Linked DNA regions of Rattus norvegicus. The protein of the gene in region 5 purifies or fractionates together with the protein of the main gene of each other region. This does not show direct contact. Links are inferred from orthologs where the notes say so. Each region holds a gene or a part of one and is shown on either strand. Other genes may lie near its edges.

What was found.
Region 1: the proteins of Cul5 (region 5) and Cops7b purify together in Homo sapiens (affinity purification with mass spectrometry; 3 studies listed by BioGRID and IntAct, with this or other methods). This does not show direct contact. The link is inferred for Rattus norvegicus from reciprocal best matches to the Homo sapiens genes CUL5 and COPS7B.
Region 2: the proteins of Cul5 (region 5) and Lrrc41 purify together in Homo sapiens (affinity purification with mass spectrometry; 3 studies listed by BioGRID and IntAct, counting the BioPlex papers as one, with this or other methods). This does not show direct contact. The link is inferred for Rattus norvegicus from reciprocal best matches to the Homo sapiens genes CUL5 and LRRC41.
Region 3: the proteins of Cul5 (region 5) and Spsb2 purify together in Homo sapiens (affinity purification with mass spectrometry; 4 studies listed by BioGRID and IntAct, counting the BioPlex papers as one, with this or other methods). This does not show direct contact. The link is inferred for Rattus norvegicus from reciprocal best matches to the Homo sapiens genes CUL5 and SPSB2.
Region 4: the proteins of Cul5 (region 5) and Cops7a purify together in Homo sapiens (affinity purification with mass spectrometry; 3 studies listed by BioGRID and IntAct, with this or other methods). This does not show direct contact. The link is inferred for Rattus norvegicus from reciprocal best matches to the Homo sapiens genes CUL5 and COPS7A.
Region 6: the proteins of Cul5 (region 5) and Wsb2 purify together in Homo sapiens (affinity purification with mass spectrometry; 3 studies listed by BioGRID and IntAct, counting the BioPlex papers as one, with this or other methods). This does not show direct contact. The link is inferred for Rattus norvegicus from reciprocal best matches to the Homo sapiens genes CUL5 and WSB2.
Region 7: the proteins of Cul5 (region 5) and Rab40c purify together in Homo sapiens (affinity purification with mass spectrometry; 5 studies listed by BioGRID and IntAct, counting the BioPlex papers as one, with this or other methods). This does not show direct contact. The link is inferred for Rattus norvegicus from reciprocal best matches to the Homo sapiens genes CUL5 and RAB40C.

The regions. Positions count from the first base shown.
Region 1 is NC_086027.1:94,703,022-94,707,245, forward strand, and holds part of Cops7b (COP9 signalosome complex subunit 7b), read left to right. Parts: intron 1-2,032; coding exon 2,033-2,235; intron 2,236-3,825; coding exon 3,826-3,931; intron 3,932-4,224. UniProt on the Homo sapiens protein: Component of the COP9 signalosome complex (CSN), a complex involved in various cellular and developmental processes.
Region 2 is NC_086023.1:134,809,908-134,812,842, reverse strand, and holds the end of Lrrc41 (leucine-rich repeat-containing protein 41), read right to left. Parts: intron 2,811-2,935; coding exon 2,646-2,810; intron 2,556-2,645; coding exon 2,457-2,555; intron 1,925-2,456; coding exon 1,802-1,924; intron 1,553-1,801; coding exon 1,477-1,552; intron 1,375-1,476; coding exon 1,155-1,374; 3' UTR 666-1,154; downstream 1-665. Other genes in the region: Rad54l (DNA repair and recombination protein RAD54-like), read left to right, coding at 89-252, 338-551. UniProt on the Homo sapiens protein: Probable substrate recognition component of an ECS (Elongin BC-CUL2/5-SOCS-box protein) E3 ubiquitin ligase complex which mediates the ubiquitination and subsequent proteasomal degradation of target proteins.
Region 3 is NC_086022.1:159,298,363-159,302,632, reverse strand, and holds Spsb2 (SPRY domain-containing SOCS box protein 2), read right to left. Parts: upstream 2,760-4,270; 5' UTR 2,596-2,759; intron 2,402-2,595; 5' UTR 2,323-2,401; coding exon 1,659-2,322; coding exon of another isoform or gene 1,492-1,658; exon of another isoform or gene 1,413-1,491; coding exon 1,282-1,412; 3' UTR 1,065-1,281; downstream 1-1,064. Other genes in the region: Tpi1 (triosephosphate isomerase), read left to right, coding at 71-158, 283-401. UniProt on the Homo sapiens protein: Substrate recognition component of a SCF-like ECS (Elongin BC-CUL2/5-SOCS-box protein) E3 ubiquitin-protein ligase complex which mediates the ubiquitination and subsequent proteasomal degradation of target proteins.
Region 4 is NC_086022.1:159,457,122-159,462,136, forward strand, and holds the start of Cops7a (COP9 signalosome complex subunit 7a), read right to left. Parts: upstream 3,053-5,015; 5' UTR 2,931-3,052; intron 2,910-2,930; exon of another isoform or gene 2,811-2,909; coding exon of another isoform or gene 2,797-2,810; intron 2,581-2,796; coding exon of another isoform or gene 2,538-2,580; coding exon 2,376-2,537; intron 2,022-2,375; exon of another isoform or gene 1,916-2,021; intron 1-1,915.
Region 5 is NC_086026.1:62,911,521-62,915,184, forward strand, and holds the end of Cul5 (cullin-5), read right to left. Parts: intron 1,086-3,664; coding exon 891-1,085; 3' UTR 673-890; downstream 1-672. UniProt on the Homo sapiens protein: Core component of multiple cullin-5-RING E3 ubiquitin-protein ligase complexes (ECS complexes, also named CRL5 complexes), which mediate the ubiquitination and subsequent proteasomal degradation of target proteins.
Region 6 is NC_086030.1:44,881,950-44,886,173, forward strand, and holds part of Wsb2 (WD repeat and SOCS box-containing protein 2), read right to left. Parts: intron 4,195-4,224; coding exon 4,063-4,194; intron 662-4,062; coding exon 561-661; intron 1-560. UniProt on the Homo sapiens protein: May be a substrate-recognition component of a SCF-like ECS (Elongin-Cullin-SOCS-box protein) E3 ubiquitin ligase complex which mediates the ubiquitination and subsequent proteasomal degradation of target proteins.
Region 7 is NC_086028.1:15,437,478-15,442,501, forward strand, and holds the start of Rab40c (ras-related protein Rab-40C), read right to left. Parts: upstream 3,183-5,024; 5' UTR 3,124-3,182; exon of another isoform or gene 3,022-3,123; 5' UTR 2,979-3,021; coding exon 2,837-2,978; exon of another isoform or gene 2,613-2,836; coding exon of another isoform or gene 2,569-2,612; intron 676-2,568; exon of another isoform or gene 1-675. UniProt on the Homo sapiens protein: RAB40C small GTPase acts as substrate-recognition component of the ECS(RAB40C) E3 ubiquitin ligase complex which mediates the ubiquitination and subsequent proteasomal degradation of target proteins.

The DNA.
Region 1 (4,224 bases), on a different chromosome or scaffold from region 5:
CACAGTCATGGCCGTCCTACCTCAGCCTCCCACATGAGGGTTGCAGGTGTATCACACCACACCTGTGAGAAGTAAGGCTTCTTTCAGCTGGTTAGCAACTTCCAGAATCCCCTAGTGCACAAGTAATTTTACTCAAGTAGGAGGAAAGACGCGCTGTGTTGGGTCGGGTGGACTTTTACTTATTTGTGATATGGGGGATTGAACTCCAGGCTTGTGCATGTTGGGAAAATACCCTTTATCTCTGAGCCACAACCTCTAGCCCAGGAAGGTAGCTTTCTAATCTTTGTGATTTTTCAGGGTTAATTGTATTTTTTTTTTTGCCTCATCTGCTCACTTTGTTTTTATTTAATTTCATATGCTAACATTAGGCCCTAATGTGTAAGATTCCCGCAACACACCTGCAGGTTCTGAGCCCAGCTGATTTAGAAGCCTTCAGGCAGTAGTTTACAGCTTTTAACAGAGAGGGGCCAGACTCCACTGATTTGTAGTTGGTTTGGCTTCACTTCTTCCTTACCTGTGTCTGTTTTTATGAGACTATACCTTTAAAAAGTTTGCATCTCTCTGTGATTAAGAGTTGTATGTTTGTTCCTTGATTTTTAGTTGCTAATGTACTGTTACCTGATCTAATCATAAATTTCTGGTTGTCACCAAGAATTTCAGGTGGGGGGGGGTTGGGGATTTAGCTCAGTGGTAGAGCGCTTGCCTAGGAAGCTCAAGGTCCTGGGTTCGGTCCCCAGCTCCGAAAAAAAGAACCAAAAAAAAAAAAAAAAGAATTTCAGGTGGGAAGTTCCTTTCTCCCTCTTTTCCTCCTTTCCTCCCTCTAGCTTGTTCTGGAGATTAAAGTTGGGGATTGGAACTCAGTGCCTCACGTGTATTTGTGTGGGGTGCCACCACTGTGCTGCACCCGTGGTCTGAATCAACCCTATTTTCTTGGGGAATGGGAAGACCAGGACCTTTTTCTCTTTCTTTTTTTTTTTTTTTCCGGAGCTGGGGACCGAACCCAGGGCCTTGTACTTGTTAGGCAAGCGCTCTACCACTGAGCTAAATCCCCAGTCCCCCTTTTTCTCTTTCTAATCATGGTCTTCTCAATCTTGGTAAAGAGTAGGAAGATTGTTTTGTTCTTTTGTTTTGTTATCATTTAATACTCACCCACCACCCTTGAAATTGCTATTTTCCTCTGCTCCCCTCTGCTCCCCTCTGTGCTCACTTTCTTTCCTGTGCTTCTGTTTACATAGTCAGTTTATTTCTAAACTAGAACTGACAGCTCGGGGTTTGTAGAATGTAGGTTTAATAATGCTCTGTTCTTGTTAGTCATTGGTTCAGGGCTGTTGTTGGAGATTTGATATTGGTCACAAAGGTTTGAGAAACAAGCACAAACTTCAGGATAACCTGTGATTGGTCGTTGTTGTTGGTGGTGGTGGTGGTGGTGGTGGTGGTGTGTGTGTGTGTGTGTGTGTGTGTGTGTGTGTGTGTGTGTGTGTGTGTGTTCGTTCTTTCTTTCATTCTGTTTTGTTTTGCCATGCCTCTTCTGGGTAAACTATTCAGTGTTAGTGTTTGAGGCTTGAACATTTCACAGTTCAGCATTTTATGTGAAGTCCAGAAGGTGGCAGTGTAGCACATACTGAGTATTTCTCTTTCCTGTGGAAGAATGTTTAACATCTATCTGTAAGAGTGTGGGTGTGGCAGCTGAGAGCTGGGTGAAGTCTAGGACATGAGACTAGAAAGTTACCTCCTTTGGTGCTGTGGGATCTTGTTGGGTGTCATAGGTTCCACAGTTTACCCGTCTCTCTTTTTTTTTTTTTTCGGAGCTGGGGACCGAACCCAGGGCCTTGCGCTTCCTAGGCAAGCGCTCTACCACTGAGCTAAATCCCCAACCCCTACCCGTCTCTTTTTATCTCAGATATTGGTGATTACCACTAGTCTGCATTGCTTAAGCACAGAGAGACAGTTCTTGCCTGTGTGGGTAATACTTGGATTTCTTTTTTCAATGCTTGCCAAGTGGTTTTAGAACTGTCATATGACCTATCCACAGTGTATCCCCTACTCTGTGCTGCTGAAGGACCTGGAGATGAGGAATCTCCGGGAACTAGAAGACCTTATCATTGAGGCTGTCTACACTGACATCATCCAGGGCAAGCTGGACCAGCGAAACCAGCTCCTGGAAGTGGATTTCTGCATTGGCCGTGACATCCAGAAGAAAGATATCAATAATATTGTCAAGACCTTGCATGAATGGTGAGACTGGGAGATGGAGGGAGGGCCTCTCTGCAGCACTGTGATCTTGAGAAGTGAGCTTGAGGTAGTCCAAGCTGGGGTCTTTGGACACTGAGACAGAGTGGGGCTGCATTGGTGGTTACAGCTGTGTGGCATTAGGAAACCTGGAAGGGTTCCTGGTGCCTGCCTTGTGAAGTTGACTTTAAATGCAGCTGGGCTGTAAAATGTTCATGTGGAGTTATAGGTCGAGTCTCTGCATTCTGGCTGTGTGGCACCAAATCGCAGCTTCTAAACATATCTCCTTATCCTCCCGTCCAATGAATAAATGAATTTAGTAAAAAGAACAGAGACTTTAGTATATTATTTTAGTGGGATTTGATGCTTGCAAAAGTGGTTATGTGTTCTGTAAGGATTTAATGAGCTATGTAAGTGATTTGGGGCTATGAAACCAGAGCTTAGGGAAGTGTGAGGAAGCTTTGAGGGAGAGCATTATTGAGAGTGGGGAGATTGTTCCCACATGGGCCTATGGCGTGCTGCATGGCATTCAGCAGACTGGGCAGCTTTGTGCTGAGAGTTAGGGACACTTGCCTTTGTTGTTGTTTTTTCTCGAAACAGGCCTTGTTCTCTAGCCCAGGCTTGCCTAGAACTAACTATAACTATGCATTCTAGGTTTGCCTCAAAGTCAAGATTTGTCCAACTGCCTTCCAAGTACCACTACACCCAGATTTTGTATACATAAAAAATATAATACATACATATATAAAATAGGCATTTTGCTTACATGTATAGAAGTGCACTGTGTGTTTATCTAGTGCCCACAGGGGTCAGAGGAGGGCATCAGAGTCCCTGGAACTGGAGTTATGGGTGATCGTGAGCTAGTGTGTGGGTGTCGGAAGCTGAACTTGGGTCCTGTATAAGAGCAACAAACATTCTAACCACTGAGCCATCTCTTCAGCCACCAGAAGAGAGTCTCAGAGCTCCTACTTATATGTTAGAAGGGGACTGGAAAATAAAAACACAGCAAAATATTGGACATATTGAATAGTAATGGACAGTGTGTAAATTTTCATTATATTGCTTTTCAAAAACTTATTTTTTGAGACAGGATCTCATTTTGTAGACCTGGCTGGTGTCACAGGCTAGCTGTGAACTCAAGAGATCTGTCTCTGCTTCCTGAGTACCGGGATTAAAGGCATGTGTCACTAAGCCCAGTGAGAAGTGCTTGTTAACTAGGAAATAACTTCAAATTCCGAGGAAAAGGCAATCTGTAAAATAGAACATTTACTTTTTCTTTTGTAGAAAGGGATCAAGTCAGTGTTACTTGTAGTTAGTCCCTCCTTCGGTCTTAGTCTGTAAAAGTGTTTCTTATGGACTGCAAGGACTGGAAATTAGAGCTGTATTCCAAGAAATTGCCCACAATCTGCAGCTGCTGTGCCCTTGGCCTGTGTTACATATTTAGATGACTTGGTTTGGAAGGAGGGAGGGGACTGACATGACCACCTGGCAGAGGAAGTCCCATAAAGTGCTGGAAGGATCTGGGAGGGAGATTCCTGAGCCTGTAGGAGCCTGCTTCCACCTCACTGTAGCTCAGGGCTGGGTTTTCTGTTGCAGGTGTGACGGCTGTGAGGCAGTTCTCCTGGGCATTGAGCAGCAAGTTCTGAGAGCCAACCAGTACAAAGAGAACCACCACCGGACTCAGCAGCAGGTGGAAGCCGAGGTAACTAGAAACGGAGCATTTGTTCCCCTCCTTAGGGTGGCCTAGGAATTAGCTTGCAGCGTCTTTGTGTTTGACATTGCTTTGCTGTAAATATACCAGGTAAACACGCCTTGGGGTTAGTACTGGAGTTTACCAGAGAATGAGCGGGCTGAGCGTGTAGAATGTAGTTAGTACTGGAGTTTACCAGAGAACAAGCGGGCTGAGAGTGTAGAATGCATGCATCTTCAGTGTGCGTACTGTGTTGCAGCTGCTGAGGGAAAGAAATGTTGGTGCTGTGTTTTAAAAATAGAAGG
Region 2 (2,935 bases), on a different chromosome or scaffold from region 5:
TTTCTCAAGATGTTTTCAACCCCTGGGTATTTCTGCTCCCTCGGTGTCTACAGGATTGGTTGAGTCCTATATTTCATCCCATTTCTAGGCAGGAACAATTGAGGAAAAGATCTTTCAGCGGCAAAGCCACAAGAAGGCTCTGAGCAGCTGTGTGGTAGATGAGGAGCAGGATGTGGAACGTCACTTCTCTCTTGGTGAGCTCAAAGAGCTGTTTACCCTGGATGAAGCCAGCCTCAGTGACACTCACGACAGGTATGTGGAGTGCCTTGTCATTACCTCTTTGCTACCTGAGCAGCACAGAAATCTGTAGTGACCCAACTCTGTCCTCTGACCCCAGACTGCATTGCCGCCGTTGTGTAAATAACCGCCAGGTCTGGCCACCCCCTGATGGTTCTGACTGCACTTCAGACCTGGCTCAGTGGAACCATAACACAGATAAACGAGGGCTCCAGGATGAGGTACTCCAGGCTGCCTGGGATGCTTCATCTACAGCCATCACCTTCGTCTTCCACCAGCGTTCCCATGAGGAGCAGCGGGGTCTTCACTGCTAACCAGCTGGTCTGGATGAGTAGCTTGGGAAAGGATACAGGGAAAAGGGGGTCCTCTGTCTCACGAGTCTCTGCTCAGTTTTGTTCTCTGGGAGAAAATCACCAAGAAGGGCTGCATGATGTTTGCCCAAAATTTATTTTATAAGAAAAACTTTTTTGGTTTAAAAAAAAAAAAAAGAAAGGAATAAAGGCATGAAAGGGATTGAGGCCCGGGACCAGACTGGGAAGCCCAGGAGGGAGAGGCCTGATGGTAGGCATTCCTATACTGCTCTAAGCCTGGGTACCTGCTTGAGGAGTGAAGCAGGAAACCCCAGAGCAGGGGTAGGGGCTTTCCTCAGTGAAGACAGAGACCCATAACCTGGCCTGGGGTTCCCAGAGTACCGAGTAAGTGGCCCAAAGCCTCTGAACTCAGCTGTGGGAATGCCTTTGCTGGGCCTCATTGAGGCCTCCAGGACCTCAGTGCCAGGGAAGATGAAAACAAAACAGAAATAGACAAAGTGGCAGGAGGAGGATGACAGAATCAGTGGTTAGGGGTTCTGGGCAGCCCATGGCTCAGTCCCTGCAAGCTGACGGTACTGAGGATGGGCCTGTGAGGTATGGGCCCCATCACATGGTGCTGACATAATCTGCAAAGGCCTGGGTTGAGTCCCATGAGTCGCTAACCACGTGGCAGGTAGCCCGGAGTCGCCGGATTGCTTCTCTCGCTGTTACTGCATCCTGGTCCAGCCAGTTCTGGAAGAGGCGTAGATGACCAAAGGCTCCACGGCCCCAGCGCTCCAGTCGTTTGGCAAACTCCAAAAGCCCATCTGGCTTGATGCAGTTGGAGCTGGTGGGGATGAGATGAATTAGATATCCAGGAAGCAACCAGGCTTTCGTCTCTATTATATCCCTTTCTCCCCCATCCCTTGTCTCCCAGTCCCTAGCATACCTGATGTCCAGCTGACAGAGAGAAGAGGAAGAATCCTCTGAGAAAACATCTGCTAGGGCTAATAGGCCAGCATTCCCTGGAGAGAGAGAGGAATACTCATACCTCTGCCCAGGAACAGGGAAACAAGGTTTTCCTATCCCAGCTCCAACTTGGGAGAACCTTAGTCCTAGCAGTTCTGAACACCTAGGACTCAAATACCTATATTGCAACCTTAGCCTTCTCAACGGACCGGTCAGTACCTTTACCCCAAAAGTTTCTAGGTCAAAGGCCTAGTTCCTTTCTTCCTTCCTCCCTTCTTCCCTCCTCTCCAGGGTATGGTCCCTACCTAGGCGGTTCCCTGGTAGTCGAAGGCCCTTCAGTGTAGAGTTGCCCTTCATAGCAGCAACCATCTCAGGAAGAAATTGGGCTGGGCGCTTCTCAAACAGACGACAGAAGGAGAAGGTAATCTCTGACAAGAGAAAGTAGAATATTCGGATAACTGAAGCAGGGGTGGTGCTGTCCCTCCTGTCCTAGGTTGGCTAGTAATGTGATTATTTATATACACTTGAAAAGGATAATCTGTAATGATCCGAGCAATGTTGAAACTCAATTTAAATAGGATATTAAGCCTAACTGTTTGAGGAACATCTCTGCATGGATAAATTTTTATCCACTTCCCCCTCTTTATAGTAACTGATGCCTTTGCAGGGTAGAGATTGTTACGCGTATCTGAAGGGAACATCCACACACAGTAGCACAATTATTTCTCCCCATGATCTTATTTTTTAATTGAACTCACTCAGGTGCTACCACCCTTGATAAAAACAATAAAACTGGGTGATGTACTAACTTTTGGGATATTAGAAGGAAGGTCATGCAGGTTCTTTATCCTTTATAGTCAAGGAAGATATAAGACTAGGAAAACATGATTTGCAGACTGAGATAATGACAAAGCTATGTTGAAGACAGAGGAACGCTCAGGTTCTGGGTTAGGATCTTACCTTGAAGGGTCAGATTCTTTAACAAAAAGAGCACCTCACTCTGACAGTCTGCAAGATTCATATCATGGAAACTCAGCCTCTTCAGGGACAGGTTGTATTCTGGATAGGAGACATAGCCATGGGTGGTGGGGCTTAGTTTTCCCAGGGAACAATGCTAGGTCCTTACGTACCCTCCCTCACCATTCCTACCTTTGAGTGTTTGCAAAACAAGCCCAAAATCTTGAGGAGAGGCGAAGGTGGCACTGTCGAGTGACAGCTGCTGTAGAGAACCTGAGGCCTTCAGAACAGAGCAGAGCAGTGGGGCTGGCTGGGCTCCTCGTGGAAATCCCATTTCCAACTGCTCTAGGCAGTTTTCTGTACGTGCGAGAAAGAGGACATTCCATTTAGCTTTCTCTACCTCATTTAAAAATACTTATGTTTTAGGTGTGGTAACATACACCTTTAGTTCCAGAACTTAGGAGGCAGAGGCAGGTGGATCT
Region 3 (4,270 bases), on a different chromosome or scaffold from region 5:
TATATAAGAACCAGTGGTTTTTACTCCTTGTGGCAGGAAGGATCTTTCTTACTCTACCTCTTCCTTCTAGGCCCAGGAAGTACACGAGAAGCTCCGGGGATGGCTGAAATGCAACGTCTCTGAGGGGGTGGCTCAGTGCACTCGGATCATTTATGGAGGTGAGTGGCTTTGGCTCCCCCCAAGGCGGAAACGAGCTAAGACAGACTGAAGCTGCCTTGCACAGAGAGGTGGGGCTTAAGTGTTCTAACTGTAGCCCTGACCATCCTCTTGCTCCTGTTACAGGTTCTGTGACTGGAGCGACTTGCAAAGAGCTGGCAAGCCAGCCTGATGTGGATGGCTTCCTCGTGGGCGGTGCATCTCTCAAGCCTGAATTCGTGGACATTATCAATGCCAAACAATGAGCACTGCTCATCCCCCTACCTTCCTGCGTAGCCTGGACCAGGTTGCCCAGAAGTTTAGTAACTGCTCCTGCCAGTCACATGCTTCTGATAACATCATCAACTCCATCTTGTGACCTAATCCATACTGTACCTTCCTGAGCCTCTTACCTCCCCATAATAGTTGGGACCAGGCCAATCCCTTTACCACTTACAATGGGTAAAATCAAATATGTCACCAAGATGGCTTCCTGAGGAGGGGAAGGAGTAGAACTAGCTGTCCCTTTGGGCCCTAATGGGTGAAAACGGCCTTCCATTGGTTTGGGATGGAAACTCACAGCTGGACCACAGGAAGTAGGCTTCTTGTCACTTTGGCCTGTCACTTAGATGGCCTTGGCTCTAGCTTCACTCCCAAGCCCTACTGGATGTGTGATGCAGAGATTCAGAGTCTTCGGGTCTGAATTTCAGTGTACATTAAGGCCAAGATCCTTTTACTCTTAGAGGCCTGGGATATCCCCTCCCTGTAGTGCCGAAGCCCTTGTATTGTGTTTGTGAACCATCCTACATATAAGGGAAATAAACACCTGGGCCTAAACATGGTTTGTCATAATTTTAAGACAGTGAGGGGGCTCTAGCCTCGAGGGGGGGGGGCAAGTGGAATGTAAAAAGAACCAATAATGAAACACGTTCTGTGACAATATATCTCATTTTTTTTTTACTTCAAAAACCTTTTGTCCAAAGCTGCCACAGCCTATAGTATCATTTCTATGTCTTGTTCCTGTGAAAAGGGGTAGTGAAGGGGTCCAGCCTCCTTCCCTCAGCTCCAGCTTTTAAGTTGTCTAGGCCAGCAGTGCCTCTCCACCTGTCCCCACGGTAGGGTGCCAGCACACCCTGTGCCACAGGGTCATTTGTAGAGTAGATAGCGTTTCATGGCAGGGGGCAATGGCAGACTGGATATTTGACCCAGCCGGGTGTCCCCCAGAGCATGGCGCACACACAGGCGGCTCAGGTGCAGAAGGGATTGTGGTTCCTCCGCTGAGACAGAGAAGGAAGACAGGGTAAGCAAGCAACTCCCGCCAGACATCCTCAAACTCTCTCTCCACCTCCACCCTAGCTAAGGGAGACCCAAAAGCTCTGAATTTCTGGAAGTGAAGCTAGAGCCAAGGCCACCTAAGTGACTTGAAGCCCATTTCCTGTGGTCCGACCACGAGTTTCCACCCCAACCCATTGTCAAAAGTGGTATCCTCCCTGCCCCCCACACACACCTAGTCCAGATCTCACCTCTTCTTTCGCCCAGGTAGCGGATGCGGACCTGGCACTGTCCCCAAACAGCACTTACAGAGGGATAAAGGGTCCTCCCCTTCAGTCCACGGAAGGCTGGTCCCAGGTACGTGCCCCCAATAGAGTAGCCCAGAGTTCCCTCCTCCATGTCCAGAACCACCAACAGTCTCTCTGGCACCACTAGCTGCTCACCCTGAGGTCCGGCTGGGTACTGGGGGGCCTCAAGGCCCTTACTCTGATGATACAATTTTCCCCTCCCAATATCCCAGCCCCAGGACTCGCTGTTGCTGCCCAAAAGCGCCGCGTAGTGGTCAGCCTGCAGCGGGGCGAGGGCGGTGGCCACGCCCACCACGGCGTGTGTTCCCCTTTGCTCCAGGGGCCAGCTGATCTCCCAGGCATGCAGGCCTCTCGAATAGCCCCTCTTTCCCCGGACTCCATCAGTGCTCTGGGCCACAGGGCGCCGCTCAAAGCACAGTCCCCCTTCCTTGACATCGATGTTCTCGGAGCAATCCTTGGGGTTCCAGCCGTGGTGTCGTTGGGCCCCTAGGTCAGGAGGGGGTGCGGACAGGAGCTCCTCCAAGCCCTCGGGAGGAGATAAGTCAGAGTACAGAGCGTGCGAGCTAGGGGTGCTGCTGCTGCCCCTTGCCAGGGCCGTCTGGCCCATGAGGTGAGCAGCTGAAGAACTTCTCAAAACAGGCTTGTTGGGGCGTCTGTCTTTTGAAAGTTGAGCTCCGGATCGTCCCCTGGAGTGGCGTGGAGAAAGAAAGGACTGTTAGGCGTAGCATCTTTCCCTGAGGCTCCCATCCGTTCACCGGTGTATGCGAACCAGCCTCATCTTCCCTTGGTCCCCCAACCCGCCCAGGCCCATCACTTTCACCCCATCTGCGTCGCGCCTTTCCCCCCAAGTTTTTCACGACTTTTCTCCCTCAGACCTTACCGTGGACCGTCCCCTTGAGGTCTCTAAGGCCCGGCCCCTATCCCGCACCTCACTGGGCTCCCCCTACCCCTCAGAGACCTCAGTGGAAGCACAGATAGGGAAGGGTGGAAGCGCCCCTGACCAGCAACCGCTTCCGGCTCCAGCGGGGCCGTAGGACGCCCGCCTGCGCTCCGCCCCTGGGCTCTGGAGACGATTAACCCTATCGTCACCTCCCGGACCACGCCCGCCACATCATTTCCCGTCCTGGGAACCCACCGTCTGCAAAGAATTCAGGCAAGGAGTGTGTGATGACTTCAAATGTGGACAAGCGCTCATGTTTTGTGGGGCACACTCTGGGTGGGTAATCTCTTGTCCCTCCCAGGACTCCCAGCAGTTTATTTTTCCGAAGCCACCTGACAGCTGCGTGCCCCGCCCTCCCCCCATCCCAGCCTAGAATTAACCCTTTGATGACGTCATCGCCTTGGATTCTGCGTGTGTGGAGACTTCTCCACTGGAGACCTTTGCGCTGCCTGAGCAAGTCGATCCTGAGATTAGGAAAAGGCCTTCACACCCTTCCTGACCTACTGCTCCCGTTTAGGAGAACGTAGGGATTGAGATTGTTCCCTGCCTGTCTCCCTATGTGGCTGAAGCGGTAACCATTCATCCTCCTGCTTCAGCCTCCTGAGTAATGGGACTACTAGTGGGCACGTTGTCTAGAGGATGTGTGCTTTGAGGGTTAGTTCTGAGTGAAGTTAGACTACTATCTGCGTTATCATGGAGAGATTGTCATTGAAGTTTGACCTCCTTGGATGTCTATTGATAACAGTTTAAAAATCACATAATGCTACCAGTAAGTTAAATGTGTGTGTGTGTGTGTGTGTGTGTGTGTGTGTGTGTGTGTGTGTGTGAGAGAGAGAGAGAGAGAGAGAGAGAGAGAGAGAGAGAGAGAGAGAGGTGGGGAGAGCAGAGAGGGCCTAGAACTCCCTCTGTAGACTAGGTTGAACTCACACTGATCAGCCTGCCTCTGCCTCCTGAGTGTTGGCATTAAAGGTGTGTACCCTGTGCCCAGCCTAATTTTAACGTTGTTGCTGTAGTTATTGTTGTTTGGATGGGTTTCAAATGGTTTCTTGTAGCCCATCTAGGACAGAAGTGGCTCTGTAGGCAAGAGCTGGCCTTGAATTCCTGTTCCTCTTAGCTCTACTTTCAAATGCTAGGATTATAAAGGTATGAGTCACACCCAGCTAATTTTAACGTTTTAAAACTCTGATGCGAGCCTGCTGCAATGGCTCGGCAGTAAGAGCACAGGCTGCTCTTGTGGAGGCCCCAGTTCAGGTTCTCACAGCCACATTGAAGCTCACAGACGTCCGTGAGTTCCAGTCCCAGGGGTGTTAACGATTTCTTCGGAACTCCACACGAATGTGATGGCACGGATACACTGTGCTGCCTAGTCTTGCGTCAACTTGACCCACAAACTAGAGTTCTTAGAGCTGCCTGAAAGGAAGGAACCTTAATTGAGAAAATGCCACCATAAGATCTGGCTGTAAGGCATTTTCTTGGTGGGGGGTGGGGGATAGCACATTGTGGGTGGTGCCATCTCTGGGCAGGTGGTCCTGAGTTCTATAAGAAAGCAGGCTGACCCAGGGTTCGGTCCCCAGCTCCGAAAAAAAGAAAAGAAAAAAGAAAGAAAGAAAGAAAG
Region 4 (5,015 bases), on a different chromosome or scaffold from region 5:
ATTCCTATTCTCAGTCAGGGCTGAAAACTTTCAGTGTTCAGAGTAGCACAGGTGCGTGTGCACACACATACACACCAGACACTGTAAATTATGTGCCCCCCCGCCCCCCAGAGGGTTTGTGGCCATGGCTTCAGAATGTCCTCATAGCGAGGTCTTACGTCATCCACAGCACCTTCCCTCCTGTCACTGCCACTTATCCTGGCATGTCACTCTGCTGGTTCTCACCTAACAATGTTTTTTTTTTTTTTTTTTTTTTTTTTTTTTTGGTTCTTTTTTTCGGAGCTGGGGACCGAACCCAGGGCCTTGCGCTTCCTAGGTAAGCGCTCTACCACTGAGCTAAATCCCCAGCCCCAACAATGTTTTAACAAGGCTATAGACCCAGCATCTGCTAGCCTCCAAGGACCCAGAGCTGTGGCCTTCGAAGTAAGTTACTGATAAATTGCTGACTTGTATTGTTTTATCCATTTATCCGATCTCTTTCACTGGAACACAAGCTGGAAATGCTCCTTCTACCTCATCTTAAGGACATACTTTAGTTCACTGTAGAGAAAATCAGGGACAAAAGCCAGTTTCTTGTGAAACAGCAGTCCCAAAAAACATTCTATCCTCTGATTCCACCACGGGTCTTCTAATGCCTGGCTCAGTCTAGCCACACACTACTGTCACTCTCATGACAGGCTGGTGTCCCAGGATTGGCCATCCATCTGCTCTATACTTTTAACGTTCTTTTTTTCTTTTTTTTTTTCTTTTTTTTTTTTTTTCCGGAGCTGGGGACCGAACCCAGGGCCTTGCGCTTCCTAGGCAAGCGCTCTACCACTGAGCTAAATTCCCAACCCCACTTTTAACGTTCTTGACTCAGCCATTTCCCTGAATGTTCTCGTCACTGTGTTCATAGCAGTTTGCCACTGTCTTAGGGAAGACAGCATCTTCACCATCTACCTGGGGGTGGGGTAGGGGTGGGGGTGGGATTTACCATGGCATAACTCAAATGCCCATTCTCTCTGATTTTAGGAGACTCCAGACTTTCCCACAGTTACTACTGTAACTGTGAAGGGAAGTGCTTTTTTTCTTATTATCATTTACTTTATGTATATGTATACACTGTAGCTGTCTTCAGACACACCAGAAGAGGGCATCAGACCCCATTACAGATGGTTGTGAGCCACCTTGTGGTTGATGGAAATTGAACTCAGGACCTCTGGAAGAGCAGTCAGTGCTCTTAACCGCTGAGCCATCTCTCCAGCCCAGGTAGTGTTTTTTTCGGTTTTTCCCTCATTGGAGTTGTGAGAACTGTACCTATACTGAGCCATGCATACGACAAACAAGGGCTCTTTCACTGAGTACATCCCTACTCCTTTTTTGAGATGGGGTCTAAGTTGCAGAGGCTGGTCTAAAATTTGTGGTGCCCTACCTTAGCATCCCAAGTTCTGAAATGGAAGCCAAGGCCTCACAAATGCTAGGCAACCACTCTATCAGCTGTTTCAAGGTTCTCATCACCATTTTTTAAGGGAAAACTGAGACTTAATTAGGTTTTTCTGATCCAGGTGACAAGATTTGTTGTTTTGTTTTTAAGACACGGTTTCTCTGTGTAACAGGGGCTGTCCTGGAACTCAAGTCTGTAGACCAAGCTGGCCTCTAACTCAGAGATCCACCTGTTTCTACCTCCCAAATGATGGTGACAGGATTATTAAGAGGTATCAATAGGCACAAATCTTCAATCCCAGCACTCCGGAGGTGGATCTCTGAGTTGAACACACAGAGAGTTCCAGAACACAAGTTATAGTACACAGAGAAACCCTGTCTCGAAAAACAACAACATCAATAACAACAGTAAAGATATCATACTGGTGGACGAGCTGGCATTTATGAGTGGTATTGTGTATGACATGTTCTTTTGTTTAAAAATTTAAAATCTGTGTTTCCTTCAGCAGCACATATACTAAAACTAGAACGATCCAGAGAAGATTAGCATGGTCCCTGGGCAAAGATGACCTCAAATTTATAAAGCGTTCCACATTTTTAAATAAAAAAAAAATTTTTTTTTTAACTTCTGCATGAGGCATAGTCAAGAAGATTCTCAAGCATTCAAGGCCAGCCCAGATGACGATTACCAGTTTAGTGCAGCCAGGACTACGCAGTGAAACCCTGACTGAAATTGTGGGTACAGAGGAAGGGAGCAGTAAGTTTACAGACCCCTTTTCTGTAAGAGATACAGGAAATGAAGACCTTTTTTTGACTGCTTACTTTTCCAAGCTGACATCTAATTATCAATACCCTGTTCACCTGAGTGGCTATTGGTTACAAAATGAGCCCACCATTCTCAAGGAAACTTTGGTCCCGAGGTTCTTTTTGAATTACCCAGGCAAGCAACACACCTCTCTAACATTAGGCATATCCAGCAGTTCCCCAAACACGTAGACACCAGGGGCCTCCAGCACCTGGTGGATGAGTGTGGCCAGTGCTGCCCCCTTAGCCGACTTGGCAAGGAGCAGAAATTGCTCCTGGTTCTGCCCTGTCACCTTCACCTCCGCACTCATGGCTGCACCCTGGTGCGGGGCTCTGGCCTCAAGTTTTCTGGAGCTGCAAGGAAAGAGGAACGTAAAACTAAAGGTCCCTGAACCACGTGAGGGTGGTCAGCTCAAGGGTGGGGAACTGCACTCAAGAGGTACCACGTCACTTCTGCAGTGTGCAATTAGGTCAAGAAGTCTAAAAGCCAACTCTAGGGTTCCTTAAAGTCGGCCACATCCTGGCTGCCACGCCCACCCTCTCCTCCATCGGGGCAGTCCCAAGCCCCACCACGTGCATCCCATTGAGTTCCAGGACAGATGAGGAAGGGAGGGAAGAGGTGGCACATGGTGTCTACCCCAACGACGACGAACTCCCAGCTCTAAACTCGTGTCTTGCACGTGTCCTCAACCACGTGACCTCACCTTTTCGATCCTCACTCGTGGCTCCACCCCCTCCCTTAAAGAGGCAGCCCCGGGTCCGCGAATCTGTGCCCAAGGCCGGGTCGTACCCTGGGACAGACTGCGACCGACCGCTACCTGGAAGCCTCGTCTTCCAGCGCGCGGGGCGGGGCGGCCGCTCCGTCACCTCCGGCAGCGGCTCCCAGCCTTTCCTGCCACCTCCCCGCAGGGTCGCTCTAGCCACGCGCTTCTATGGCCAGTTTCCGGCCGCACTTCCGCTCTCGAGAGGCGGGTTCCGGCCGGCTATGGCCTGCTTCCGTTTCCCGACCGAAGGAGGTGAGAGAGCGACACCTAGCTTCCGCTCTGTCGATAAAGCTTTATTGGTGCGGGAGCGGTGGATGCCGGGTGTAGAGAAAATCCTGGCTCCGTGGAGGTCCTGGGTAGATGAACCGCCCGGTAGCTGCAGGAGAGGGGAGGAGGGCAGCGCCAAGTTCCTCCGGCCGCATGAGCGTTAGTGGAAGACGAGAAGATGCAGAAACTAAAAATAGGAGACAAACATGGCTAGAGTTTCAACGGTAGATAATTTAGGTAGTTCAACCACTCATGTTTTTCAAAGAGCAGAATAAAAAGTAGACAAACGTGGCTAGAATTCAACGGTAGATAATTTAGGTAGTTCAACCACTCATGTTTTTTAAAGAGCAGAATAAAAGTTTAAAATGCAAGGGGGCAGGGAGTGGTGACCCACACCGCTTCCCTGTGTTTTGGAAATAGAGGTAGGATCGGGAGTTCAAAACCAGCCCCAGGGGGTTGGGGATTTAGCTCAGTGGTAGAGCGCTTGCCTAGGAAGCGCAAGGGCCTGGGTTCAGTTCCCAGCTCCGGAAAAAAAAGAATCAAAAAAAAAAAAAAAAAAAAAAACGAAGCAAAAAATACATAGCAAATACCAAGCCAGTCTGGGCTACTTGAGAACCGGTCTGGAAAAAACAAAACAAACCCCCAAATGATTAAGGGGAAAGGGAAGTGTATTGGTCAGGCTTTTGAGGTTTTCTTCCGTTGGAATTTCAGACCACGTGACCAGACTTTTGGCCGATTAAAACCAGAAGGATTACTACACCTAATCGTTCTGGTTTTAATACTTGAATCTCAACAGGAGAAAAGTGTAAGTAGAACCTAGGCAGGTGAGGAAATTTAAAAGTTAAAGGATTCAGCTGGTTATTTGTAATCCCAACAGCCAGGAGACTGAGGCAGGAGGATTGCTATTAGTTGGGAGGGTAGCCTGTGCTACAGTGTGAGAGACCCTGTCTTAGAATACTTTAAATTGCATGGTGGTACACACCTTTAATTGGGTGGATTTCTGAGTTAAATCATCCAGCATCTTATGCATAGGGAATTATGGTATAGCCAGAACTACTTAGTGAGACCATGTCTCAAAATGAAACAAAACAAAAATACTTACAGAAACCATTTAAGGGGCAAATTAAGGTAAAGCCAGACTTACTGTTTCATAATCTGTAATCCCATTACTCAGTAGACTAAGGCAGGGGAATTGAAAGTTCAAGACCTGAGTTCTGGAAGTAACCCATGAGACAAGGGAACATAGGGTCCAAGTGCAGGCTTATCTGATTCCATTGCTTCCCTGCAGGAAAAACGAGGCATGGTAGTACATGCTTGTAGTCTAGCACTCGGGAGGCTAAGTCAGGAGGATCTTAGGCCCAGAGGCCATCTGGGCTTCGTAGTGAGTTCCAGGTTGAGAGTGGTGGAGAGAGAGAGGTTAGAAGAGGCTAAGAACACTGGCTGCTCTTCCAGAGGTTCTGAGTTCAATTCCTAACTACCACATGGTGGCTCACGAACATCTATAATGAGATCTGATGCCCTCTTCTGGCCTGCACGTGTACATGCATGAAGAACACTACATAATAAATAAAACTTAAGAAAAGAAAAAGAGTGGGCTGGAGAGATGGCTCGGGTTAAAAGCACAGGCAGCTCTTCCAGAGGTCCTGAGTTCAAACCCCAGCAACCACACGGTGACTCACAAGCATCTGTAATGGGACTTGATGCCCTCTTCTGGTGTGTCTGAAGTACAGCTACAGTATACTTATATATAAATTTTTT
Region 5 (3,664 bases):
GTATAGTAAATATTAGGTGTATAAGTATTAAGTGTATTAGTAACACACTTAACATGTTTACTTCGGGATTCTGATTTCTGTAATCAGTGATGTACCTAAACCCATAAATTTTTAACTGAAACAACATTGACTATAAACTTCATGTTTTCAAAACAAGCTCTCCAGCCATACAAAGTCTAAAAAGAAAATCCCACATCTTCATGTTTAACAACAAATGACTAAACAGCACTCTCCTGCTCAGTGAAAATCAGCATTTGTAAGGTAGAAATATTTAATACCAGTTTCCGTTACCATTAAGATCCAGTCACTAAAGTGAAAGCAGTGTTTGACAAACAGCTCAACACTGGCACACTGTCTTCTCAAGTGTGCCTGCCCTTGCCCAACAGTGTTGACAATTCACTCTGCATCAAAAGAAGCTGAGTGCTGCCTCTAGCTTTAATTGCATTAAAAAAAAAAAAAAACCCAAAAATAACAAACCAACAAAAAACCCCAGCATTTCTCAGTGCATGAGTATCTGAAAATCCTTCCTTGTGTAAGTATATTCCTTTAAAGAGGAAAGGGGGATAAAAGAAGCAAAAGGAACCCCACCCTCACCCTTCCAAAATGTTATTTCTCTGGGTGGGTAAAAATTGAATTGACTTTGAAAGTTCATAATGGGCTCTTCATGAATGCAATTTTCTCCACAAAACAGCATGCTGTTAAAGAGTGTGCAACATGAAGGGATTGCCATCATGCTGACTAATGTGACTGGCAAAATATAGTCGCTTTGTAAGGTAAGGCAGAGTTTAATATTTATGTAATCAAAGTCCAAATAAACCTTCCTCCAGCTCAGCCTGGGACAACCTTCTGCCCAGGTCTCCAGATGTGTAGCTGCGGCAGGCTGGATTCAGCTACGCCATGTATATGAAGGTGTTGATGTCGGCCTCATCCCTCCTGATGTACTTGTGCTCGATCAGCCATTCGATTTGCTCTTTTATCATTTTCTTCTGTGGTAAGAACATGTTTTTCAAAATTTCTACTAATTCAGTCTGCAGCTGAGCATTGCTAATTTTCTTCCTCATTTTCATTATTTGTATGATGGCTTCCTAAGAGGAAAAGGGAAAAGGAAAGTACATGAATACATTCAACTAGTTTGAGCAAAGCAAATCAGTAACATTTCCTATGTTATCTCCTAACACCAGCCACACTGTACGGCCCCTAGCTATTCACCTGGAGACTTAATCAGCAGCTACAATTTTTTTCCCCTTGCACTTATTACAAAGATTTTGAAAGTAAAGGAAGCCAAAATTAACCTATAATCTCTACTGTTTTATAAAAATTAATATGCATTTGAATGCTTGACTCCCTGTATGACTTTGTACCACATACATGTCTGGTGCCTGAAAAGGCGGAATAGTCATGAGCAAATCTGTGGGTGCTGTTAACATAGCTCAGTGGATAAAGGTGCTTGTTGCACCATCTTAATGCACGATGACCTGAGTTCAACCCCTAGGACCAACAAAGTGGAAAAATAGTATCAAATCTTGAAAAGTTGTGTTCTAACTTATACATACACATATGATCACACACACATACAAATAAATGCAATAAGACACAGGACTCCACCTACACAAATTTGCCTCTAATATTAGGGTGTCTCTTTGTATAACAGGAGAACCATGAATGTCTAGTCTTAAAAATCTGTAAACACCTGGGTTCGGTCCCCAGCTTCGAAAAAAAGAACCAAAAAAAAAAAAAAAAAAAATCTGTAAACACTACTCTCTATATTAACTAGACTAATAATACAGTGATAGCAATATTTACCACAGATCCTGTCTTTACTTCTATTGATTTAATTCATGTTTCTGACATTTAAATGTTTCTAAAGAAATCAACATATTCCACCTAAGTCAATTTTATCAATATGGTCTTAGTGATTTTTAAACTACATAGAAGTTGGCAATGACATTACCTGAAAACTAGACTTCCTGTAATCATTATTAAAGTTTAGCTTCCCTTAGGCAACAAGGTGGCTCAGTGGATACTACAATTTTGTATAAAGGAAATAGAAGAGATGCAGTTGGTTCTCTGTATCTGTGTGCTCCACACTACAGACTGACTGAGCAGCAGAATCATGAGCTGATTATGGTGGCCTTTAATCCCAGTCAGATCTGAGTCCACAGAGTGAGTTCCAGGACAACCTGGGCTACACAGAGAAACCCTGTCTCAAAAACGAAACCAAACCAACAAAACAACCAACCACAAAAATGTAATTAGGCTTATGAGAGCTGCGTCTGTATTAAGCACACAAACTTAAACCACAGAGCATGGGGACTAGTCACACAGCACTTATACTGTATTAGGTGCTATGATGACCTAGAGATTACTTAAATATATGGTATAAAATATGTAGGGGCGTATTCAGGCACTACACATTCTATACAAGAACTGTGAGCACTGAGATTCTGGGACGTGCAGGAAACCCTTGGACTTTTTCCTGTGGACAACGTATTAACACCTGACAGCAACAATGCAAACACACTCGGGAACCCGCAGGTTCAGCAGGGTAAAATCCCTTCCACTTTTCAGCTCTCCTGTACAGGCATGACAGTCTGTCATTGATACTACATGATCTGCGATGCATCCAGTTACAAGCTTTCATACATTGTTTTTACAAGACGCTTTTAACTGTTATCATTGCACATCATTACATGTTACATGTTTACAAGCACACGCCAGAGCAGGAGTGTGGAAGTCAGAAGGCTTTCTAACAGCAGCTCTCTCTCCATCTGGTGGTTGGCTGGTTGGTATTCTTGAGGCAGGGTTTGTTTCTCTGTGTGGCCCTGGCTGTCGTGGAATTCACTCTATACATCTGTAAATGGCCTTCTGGGATTAAACTAAGATCACCAGGTTTCTGTTACCTGATGAGTCAGTCATCTTGTCCAATGATACCAGGCTTTTGATCAGATTATAAATAGGGCTTTATGTCAAAAATATAAAGGAAAACAAAAACAGTAAGTCTGTCCATCTAGGAATGTGAAGATTGTAGGACCATGAAAACTTTTAATCTTTCTTCGTGCTTCAAACTGTATGGCATTCACCAAAATTTCAAATAATACTAAATAAAAACTGTAAAAGTACAACCAAAAAAGCAGCCCTGTTAAAAGACTTTTTTTCTTTAATTAAAATAACCATCAGTTTGCAATTCATTAGAAGTTTTAAGAACTTGTTTGTTGTGTACACATGCACATGTGCCCATAGGAGAGCGCCTCTCGCTCTCTTCTACATGCGAAGGTTGGAAGACAACTGTGGACTTGAGTCGGTTTCTTCCTTACATCAAGTGAACTGCTGGGACTGAACTCAGGTTGTCAATTACACCACCTACCGCACGATCTCGCCAGCTCTGTTTCCCTGTATGTTGTATTCATTTCCGGGTAGTGGAGACGAGGAGAACGACCTCGCTAAGGAGCCTCTCTCCTTCTGACAGCGCAAGCTGTCAGCTTGCTGTCAAATATCTACGAACTGAGCCACCTTACCTTTCTAGTAATAAATATTTTTACCATGTTCAGAAGCCATCATAATCCTAATTTTAACACATTTTTCAAAGGAAAATATACCAGATAATGTTTCTTAGTTCTAAATAAAAAACATTTCCTAAGGGCACATTACATTTCAGAATTCAATA
Region 6 (4,224 bases), on a different chromosome or scaffold from region 5:
GGTGACACAAGCAAAAGAGAAACTACCTCTCCAGACTGCCCCAGGCTCCAATGTCTTTAGAACACAGCAGACCAGCACTGTTCTTGTCGGGTTTGGGCTGGAATTCTAATCATATGGAGTCAAACTGGAGAGATTCAAATTCAGGTCTGGGTGTGGGCTGTGGTTTTTTTTTTTCAAATCCTGGACTCCAAAGGGAAAAAAGGTCTGGGAATACTGCACTTCACCTTCTGGAAAAGGAACCTCTTCCACCCACTTCCAAAGCCTCCTCTCCATGGTCATGGTCATGCTCCAGCCTCCCGAGTGTTGTGTGGGGGCCTGAGCCAGCCAGCCACCTCTGCTGGGACACACTGGCAGATGGACTGTGACTTAGCATGTGCATGCACACTCGCGCACGCACACACACACCTCACGCAGTGCACACACATGCATGCACACACACACGCGTGCGCACACATGCACACACACATGCATAGGCGTGCACACTCACGCACACACGCTCGCACACACACAAGCGCACACACACACACACACACACGCACGCGCACACGCTGGAGGCTTACCGACTTCTCACCAGCGGCAGAGCACAGCATGCTGCAGTCAGGGGAGATGGAGCAGCAGTAAACCCACTGCAGATGGCCGGACAGCACCTGGATCTGCTTACCTGCCAGAGAAGAACAGAAGGCCATGAGCCCTCAGAAATGAAAGACCCAGGAACACCTTCTAGGGCTCAGCGCCAGGCAAAGACCCACATTCTAGTGCAGGACAGGAACTGTGACAAACACTTGCAAATCAAAGGGACAAGCAAACACCTGCAATCTGTGGAGGCAGCGGCCAAGAAGCCAAGGGCGCTCACCCCCTGCAGCTTCCTCTAGTCTGCAGGTGAGGATGGCAGCAGAGACCGTCCTTTCAAGACCCCAGCACTGTACTCACTCACACCTATCCAGGCCTGACAGCCTCTCACGGCTCCCTAAGGGGCGCTGTTCAAGGGACACACAGAAGGACAGTCATGAGAGGTGTGCGCTCTGAGGTCAGACAACCTGGTTCCCAGTAGAGTCTGCCACTGCGCTATGCTCTGACGGCATGGTCAGGCACCGAGCATCATCTTCTCAGGCCTGGACCTTCCCAAACCCCAAGGCTGGCCGGGCCTACATGAGGATGAGAGAGGCAATGGGGCCCACGCCCAGCCTGTGGTTCAGAAGGAAGAGAAACTTCCCCACATGGTATTGCTTAAGGAAAACTGCAATATACAGGAGAAAAGATGAGGAATAAAATTCTATTTTTTGTGAAATGACCTCAAAACCCAATGTGCGTGTGCTCAGGAGTGTGTTCCGAGTACAAACACTGTGGTTCTTGACATGGGTTAGCAACTGCAAGGGACACGTGGAAGACGCAAGCGAGGGAAGGCGGTTGGGTAAGAGGAGGGCATGGAGAGCAGAGGCTGTGAGTGATCAGTCTGTCAAGCCAGCTGTGCTGCTTCTACGGCAGCCTGGCTGTGGTAACCGGATGTGTGGCTCGCGCTAAGTCAGGTTAGCAGGACAACCTGGGGCCTGGTAATGCACCTTGTCCTCTTGTGGCTCTCAGCAGCCACATGGCAGCTCACACACATCCTCAGCTCCAAACCCAAGGACTCTGACAGCCACCCTGGCCTCTGAGCACCAGGCACATGAATGGTGTGCATACACAGGCAAAACATTAAATACAGTACACTTTAAAAACAAGAGACCCCCCCAGTCCACTTTGTTCCACCCACAGTCGGACCCCCCCCACCTGGTCCACTCTCCCCCAGACAGCAAGGGATTTACTGAGTCTTCCCTCAACCTTCCCATCCGGTGTGCCCAGGCCTCAGCATTTGGGAGGAGGAAACCGTCCAATGAGGTCCAGGGCCAACCTAGACTAAGCCATCCGGTGAGGAAGCCCTACACACCCAGCATGGAATATGGCCAAGCTGGGGCTGGGCACAGTGGTGTAAGCCCTCAATCACAGCACTTGGAAGGCAGAGACAGGCAGATCTGTAAACTGAAGGCCAGCTTGGTCTATGCAGAAAGTTGCAGGAATACACACAGAGACCCTGTCTTAAAAGTGCAGCAGGCGTGGGGCTGGGGCAGCTTAGCTGTGGTGTGTCCAGGTCCTTGCTAGCAGGGCCAGATTCATCTGCTGGGTTTCAAGCTCCCGTATCAGATAGAAACCACAGGGTGGGGTGTCTTAGTGAGTGAGGAGTCTGGATGAGGACACTCTAAACACCTCTGTAACTGTTTATCTACAAGCTGCTATGGACTGTGGGGACCCCAAAATTCATAGGATTCAAACAATCTCCAAGAGATGGCATTTGGAATGGGGTCTTTGGGAAATCAAACTGGTCCTGAGAAGGAAGCCCTCAAGAATGGGAGTAGTGCTTTATGCAAGAGAGCAGACCTAGAGAGCCCTGTGTGTCTGCGATAGAGTCATCTATGGACACCCCACCCCCCCGCGTCATCAGCCATGTATGTGTGTCTGTGATAGAGCCATCTATGGACACCCTATCCCGTCATCAGCCATGTATATGTGTCTGCGATAGAGCCATCTATGGACACCCCGCCCCCCGTCATCAGCCATGTATGTGTGTCTGTGATAGAGCCATCTATGGACACCCCGCCACCCGCGTCATCATGTACATGGCTAAGACTTCCTTGGTCCTAAGACTTCCAGCCTCCAGCACAGAAGCAGCTGTGTGCTGATAAGGCCTCCAGGCTGGGGCATGTACCAGGGAAACCCGTACTAGAGCACTGACCAGGATTCTCAGTACTAAGAAGGTAGGAGAAATCCCTCCTAATGGATTGAGACTGGCACCGGCCCAGTCTCACTGTTGGAGAATTCACCTCTTCTAGGACTGACTCCCTTGCCATTTCTTCTCTCTACACGTGGGTTCTGGGGATGGTACTCGGGTCATCCGGCTTAGCAGCAGGTTCACTTACCACTGAGCTATCTTGCCTTGCCAGCCTGGATCTATGGTCAGTCACAAAAAAGCCATATGTGTGCCATCTGTGTTCATGGGTATGTGGGCTGGCTGCGTATCAGTGCATGTTGCTCACAGGAAAGCACAGTCTGAATACTCAGAAGTGCTACTGCCCTAGGTGTATGTGATCTAGAACAGGCTTCACGGCTGCCTTATGAGCTAGCCTGTGCACTCTACATGCTGAGCGGCACTCCACGCTCAGTCTCCTTACTAGCTAGCCTATGCACTCCAGATGCTGAGCGGCACCCCACGCTCAGTCTCCTGAGAAGCCACTTCTAAGCTCTCTAGACACTACAAGTGTTCCCTGGAGGATACTTAGTGCCTGCTCCTTCACCCGGAGCCCCTGGTCTGAGAGCAGTCCTGAGGGGGCTTCCTGAGATAAAAAGAGGTGCCTTTCAAGTAGGATCTCAGCCTAGAGTAACTGTCTCTCAGCGGGTTGTACAAGCTGTGTATTGCAGAGTCCCTCTCAGCTCTGGTGTGACTCCTGAATGGTGAGAGGGAAGAGGAGTTTATGGCCATCATTTTCCCACAGATGGACAGGAGGAGAGAAGTCACTCCTGGGAGCTGTCCTCTGGCCTCCACGTGCAGGCTGGGGCATGTGATAGCACCCCCCCCCACACACACACACACATACCCTGGGACAATGATAGTAAATTTAAATGTTAAAGACTGTACTGAATCTAGTCTTCTTGTCAGTGATGCCTACAGGACATACAGCCACTGTTCTCAGAGTATTTACAGCACACTAGGGACTGCGAGCCCTCCAGAGCCCACTTTTGGACGATGTGAGGTCTGTGCAAATGCAATGGCAGCTTACGTGAGAGGCATGAGCACTTGGGGGTTGGCGTCCTGAGAGGGTCTTAGAGTCTGCCCTTGCAGGGCAGCTGTGCAGTGAACTCCGATAGTAAAAACACCTTCAGCTCAGTACTTGAAGGCCACAGGGTGGCTATGAGGCTATCTCAGGAGGCTTTTGGGTGAGGCGGAGGAGGAAGGGAGCTCACGGGAAATGGCCTTGCTGAGATGAAGGCTGCAGTCAGCACAGGACTGAGTGGTTCAGCCCCTCCCCCTACCGTGCTTATTCAGGTCCCAAATGCGAAGAGTCTTATCCCGGGATGCAGAGACCAAAATCAAGCTGCCATTGGGCGTGAAGCTCAGATCTCTCACAACATCCTGGTGGCCAGAAAGATTCAGCAGCAGGAGCCCTGGAGGGAACAGGTCGGTGTACGGTGAAG
Region 7 (5,024 bases), on a different chromosome or scaffold from region 5:
CACAGCTTCCTTCTGTAAGCACTAACTCCCAAGGGAACAGAAGAATGAAGTAACACCCATGGACCCATTAACAGATGTGGATCTTTCAGGCCATGAGCATATGAACTACAGTGGATTTTCCTGAAGGCTCTAACACTCAGGAATCTTGTATGAGCTAGGGTGAGATAGAATTGTCTTAACTAAAGATGTTCAATGCCCACATCACAAACAAGGGCAGTCTTGTGTGCTACAGTAATAATGTTTCCTGGGCTCAAGGGTAAATACCCAGTTGGCTGACTTGGGACCAACATGGACCTTTCATTCCAAGGCCACATATCAGAACCAGAGGCAAATCTACTCATTGTATGCTTGTGCATAGAAGCTGCCCCTCCCCCTCAATCCTCTCCCACAACTGAGACTCCACAATGCCTTTACTCTGGAGCGTAATTCTGCTGTGGGTGCCCAGAAGGAAGTGCTCTGAAAGTGTCCTGTTACATCCAGAGAAGAGACTCTCACTGCTGCTGGACACAATCACTGCTGCGTCCTCAATGCCCTGATGTTTCTAGCTCCACAGAGACCCTAATAAGTATCTAAGGCACCAGACCTGGGGGCTCTTGCAGATGCTGGGCATGTGGTCACAGGATCCTACTCTGTCACTGTTTCAGGTGTCAGTGCTAATTAAAAAAAAAAAGTCGTTTTGATGACTCACATGTTTGTGAAGTCAGAGAGAGCGATGTTCACACCTGAGGAACAAGCTAGACGAGACGTTAAGACAGGTAAATAACCCGGCTGGGATCAAGAAGGAGATCTGGGGGGCTGGGGATTTAGCTCAGTGGTAGAGCGCTTACCTAGGAAGCGCAAGGCCCTGGGTTCGGTCCCCAGCTCCGAAAAAGAGAACCAAAAAAAAAAAAAAAAAAAAGAAGGAGATCTGGGGCCAATATGGAGCAGGCCCCTTCCCAGGTGGGGACTACCCTGATCAGAGAAGCCTGAACCTTGAAAAAAACCTAAAGTTGGAAATAAACATTCTCTTTCTGTTTTCCAGACAGGGTTTCTCTGGGTAGCCATGGCTATCATGGAACTTGTTCTGTAGATCAGGTTGGCCTCAAACTCAGAGATCCATCTGCCTCTGCTTCTCAGTACAGGGACTAAAGAAGTGTGCCACCACCGCTTGGCTGACATACGGAGAAATGTCTGGTTCTACTTAGAGAACCAGAAGTCCAGCTCTTTCAAACAGTAAACACACTGTGCTCCCTCTCCAGAACCAGCTGCTTTATCACTTCTTTTTTTTTTCTTTTCTTTTTTTTTTTCGGAGCTGGGGACCGAACCCAGGGCCTTTCGCTTGCTAGGCAAGCGCTCTACCACTGAGCTAAATCCCCAACCCTTGCTTTATCACTTCTAATCTCTTCTCCTCTGAGAAGGCCCAAGCATTCTCAGATCAACCAACTTCACTCCGTGGAGTGCTCCATGGGTCAGTGGCCCAATGCTCTGACCCAAAGACCTGATGTTTGTGCTATATGCATGTCAACCCGACACAAAAAACATGCTGACACAGCTGTTTCCCTCTGTGCTTCATACTGCAGGACCCACACAAGGACCTGCAAGTGTGCCCTGGGCTTTACAGTTTGTGCAGTGTAAAAGCACTTGGTGAGTGGTGCCCTGTGCTAAGCAGCCCTCAGTACGTCTCACACCTTTGTACTCTTTATGCGCTACTGGCCGAACTTCAGGTAGCATGTCATAGGAAATCTGGCAAGATTCAGTTGACAGAGGAGATGAGGAAAGATCCAGCTGGAGGCTGTGTGTATATGCAGTTGAAGCTGATGGGGGGTTAAGATTAGGGCCGGGGGCCACAGGCTGTCTTTCCAAAGCACCAAGTTAACACTAAGCACTTCTGAAGCCCAGCCTGTTCCATGCTCCTCTGTTGGAAAGGTAACCCCAAAGCCTATCTAAGCCGGGCTGTCACCTTGGGGCACCCAGTCAAATACCAGTCAAGGCTGCCTGGCTGTGCAGAGGTCCTTTCACATGCCCCACAAAGTAAAACCATGGCTCTTCCTTTCCTGCACTCAAAGATGCCTGCTATAGATTGAAGCTGAGAGCAGGAGTGTGGGGAAGAGGTACAGAGAAGATCCAGCACTTCTGTTCAGAAGAAATAATCCTCCACTCAAGTCCTGGTGGTCATCACCCTTGACAAGTCCTAACTGCAAAGAGTGGTAGATGTCTTGCCTACACTCAGCTGTTATTTACCAGACTTCCAGTGCTCAGAGCAGTAAGACAGGGCTAACAAAACCCCAGAGAACAAAGTAAAGAGGCAGAGAAAAGGAACCCAGGGAGAGACCAGGGAGGTACAATTAGTCCAGTGATATAAGAATGACAGGCCCACTGCACATTAATTCCTCCGGAGTCAGCAGCCCCTGTAGCCTGTGATCCAATCCCACCCACTGTTAGCTACGATTTTACCTTAAATACCTAAATTAAGAGGCAAGCTCAGACAAGTGCCAGTGATGCAATCTACCTTGTGTATTTTTTTTTTTGCCATGCACCCGGAAGTTAACAAGAATCACATCGCAGCAGATGTATTTTCTCCCTGCACAGGGTGCGGTGTCCCTGAGCAAACCCCTCCGGAGGCAGTGCGGTGAGCACCCGGCCGCTCATGCGGTATCTGCCGCGCGGCCCATTCCGGGCTCTAAAGGACTCCAAAGACCTGCTGCTGAAACCTCCTACTAGCCACCGGGGCCCGCATCTGCTTGCCGACGGCTCCCCAAGGCAGGGCCAGAGGATACCGCAGCGACACGCGCAGAGGCCGCCCGCGCCCGCGACAGGCCGCTCCCGCCCCGCGCGCCCATCGCCAACCCCGGCCTACCGTTGCTGTAGGCGTACGGGGATTCGGCTGCTCCGTCCTGAAGACTCTCCAGAATCTCGCCTTTGCCCACGTCGCTGTCGCCCACCAGCAGGAACTTGAGCAGGTAATCGTAGCTCTTCACTGGACTGCCCTGGGTGCCCATCCTCCCGCCCGCCGCACCGCGGCCCACGGCACCGCCGCCAGACCTGCGGGCGAAGGCTGGTGAGCGGCCGTGCGGTCCAAACGCTGATGCTCCCGCCCACTGGCCACCGCCCCCAGTGCACCCACCCCGCTGCCTCCAGCTTCACCTCAGCCTCCTAGCCGCCGCTGCTACCGCCGCCGCCGCCGCCGCCCGCCGCTTCCCGCACGGCACCGCGCAGCCCCGCAGCCCCGCCCCCGGATGCGCGGCCGCCATTGGCCACCCTCCGCCGGCCCTCTCCGGGCCATTGGCTTGGCACCCTGGCCGTCACGATCGCCCCGCCCCCACGTCGCCCCACACACGGTGCCGCCCAGCCCACGGTCGCCCCGCCCTGCCCACTCACCACTGCTACTGGCCCGTTGCCACCCTCTTTATCATTTCTGTTGGTCTATATGCTTGTCTGTCACTGAAGTCCCGTCCCCGCCATTTCGTACACAGTGTTGCGGAGGCTGGCGAATTTCCCCGCCTCCTCGCTGTGACCATTGGCCACTTCCCCGCTGATTTTCCAAAATCATTGGTCGCTCTTGCATGTCCGTCTGAACCCCTACCGCTTCCTGCAGGCTGCCTCAGAGCCATAGTAGCCCGGCACCGACAAGCAACATCCTGGACTCCCGCCCCCTTGTCATCACCATTGGCTACCACTGCTAAGGCATTTGTGCCATCTCACATCGATCATAACCTTCTAAGCCCACCCCTTTCCTAATTCGCGCCAATCAAGAGTCAAATATTACACAAGTCTACCCCTCCCCCTTGTGGACAAGCGGAAGGATAGAGATAACTCCTGCTTGAGGCGACATGAATGAGTCGCTGAGGGGGGGCAGTATATCTTTCAAGCTGCACTGGCTTCTCTCGAAGGGAAGTAACGTAGTTTGGACGTACACTCTCCGGCTCGCGTTCCCTGGAGGCAGGGCGGGGACAGCCAATTACTGCTCGTCCCGGTGGGGGCAAGGCTCTGTCCGTTGTAGGCTGTTCAAGGGGTGGGACTTCCTCCTGGCCGTGGAGTAGGAGGGGCCGCTCCTGAGAGTTTAGGCACAAGCATGAATGCTGAAGGTCTTCTCCTTTGAGCTGACTCTTATGAGGACATTCTTCCCACTGGGGATCCTGGAAGCTTAGACCAGCGAGAGCAGCGTTATCCAGGTGGACTCCGGGATGGGCAACACGTTGCATGTGTACACTTGGTCGGCCAGCTCTGAAGCTGGAGGGCCACGGACAGCGTTCTTCAGAAAAGTGCTTTCACAAGTCACGTGAATAGCAAGAAATTAAAAAAGTAAACATAGATTGGGACCAACACTCTTGCGCTGTAAGCCTGACAGAGTGAGTTTGAGCTCCCTCCGGTGCCTGGCCATCTGTAATCCTCATCCCACCTACCTCCTGCTCCTATAGTAAGGAAGGAAGTAAAGATAGGAAAATTTGTCCAACAGTTCGAAAGTTACCTGGCCTGGTGTAAGCCCATTTTAACAGGGTAGAAGGCTGAACTGACTTCTGAAAGTTATCCTCCTCTGACCGCCACATACCGTAGGTGCACGTGCTGCAGTCAGTCACACACACATACTGTACCTTGGAACAGTTTTTACACAAACTTCCTGAACATTGCCAGATAATAGATAAAATGTGGGGGAGGAGGGGGTGCTGTAGAGATGGCTCAGAGGTTAAGAGCCCTAGCTAGGGGCTGGGATTTAGCTCAGTGGTAGAGCGCTTGCCTAGCAAGTGCAAGGCCCTGGGTTCGGTCCCCAGCTCCGAAAAAAAAAAAAAAAAAAAAAGATCCCTAGCTGCCCACCACCCACATGGCAGCTCACAAGTGTCTGTAACTAGTTTCAGGAGATCGGACACCCTCACACAGATAAATATGCAAGCAAAACACCAATGCACATTTAAAATTATAAAAAAAAACAGATAAAATGAGACACTGGATGAAGAATTGGTTCAGCAGTTCAGAGCACAGAGCACTTGTTGCTCTAGTAGAGGATTTGGGTTCAGTTCCCAGCACCAACTTGTTGACTCACAGCCATG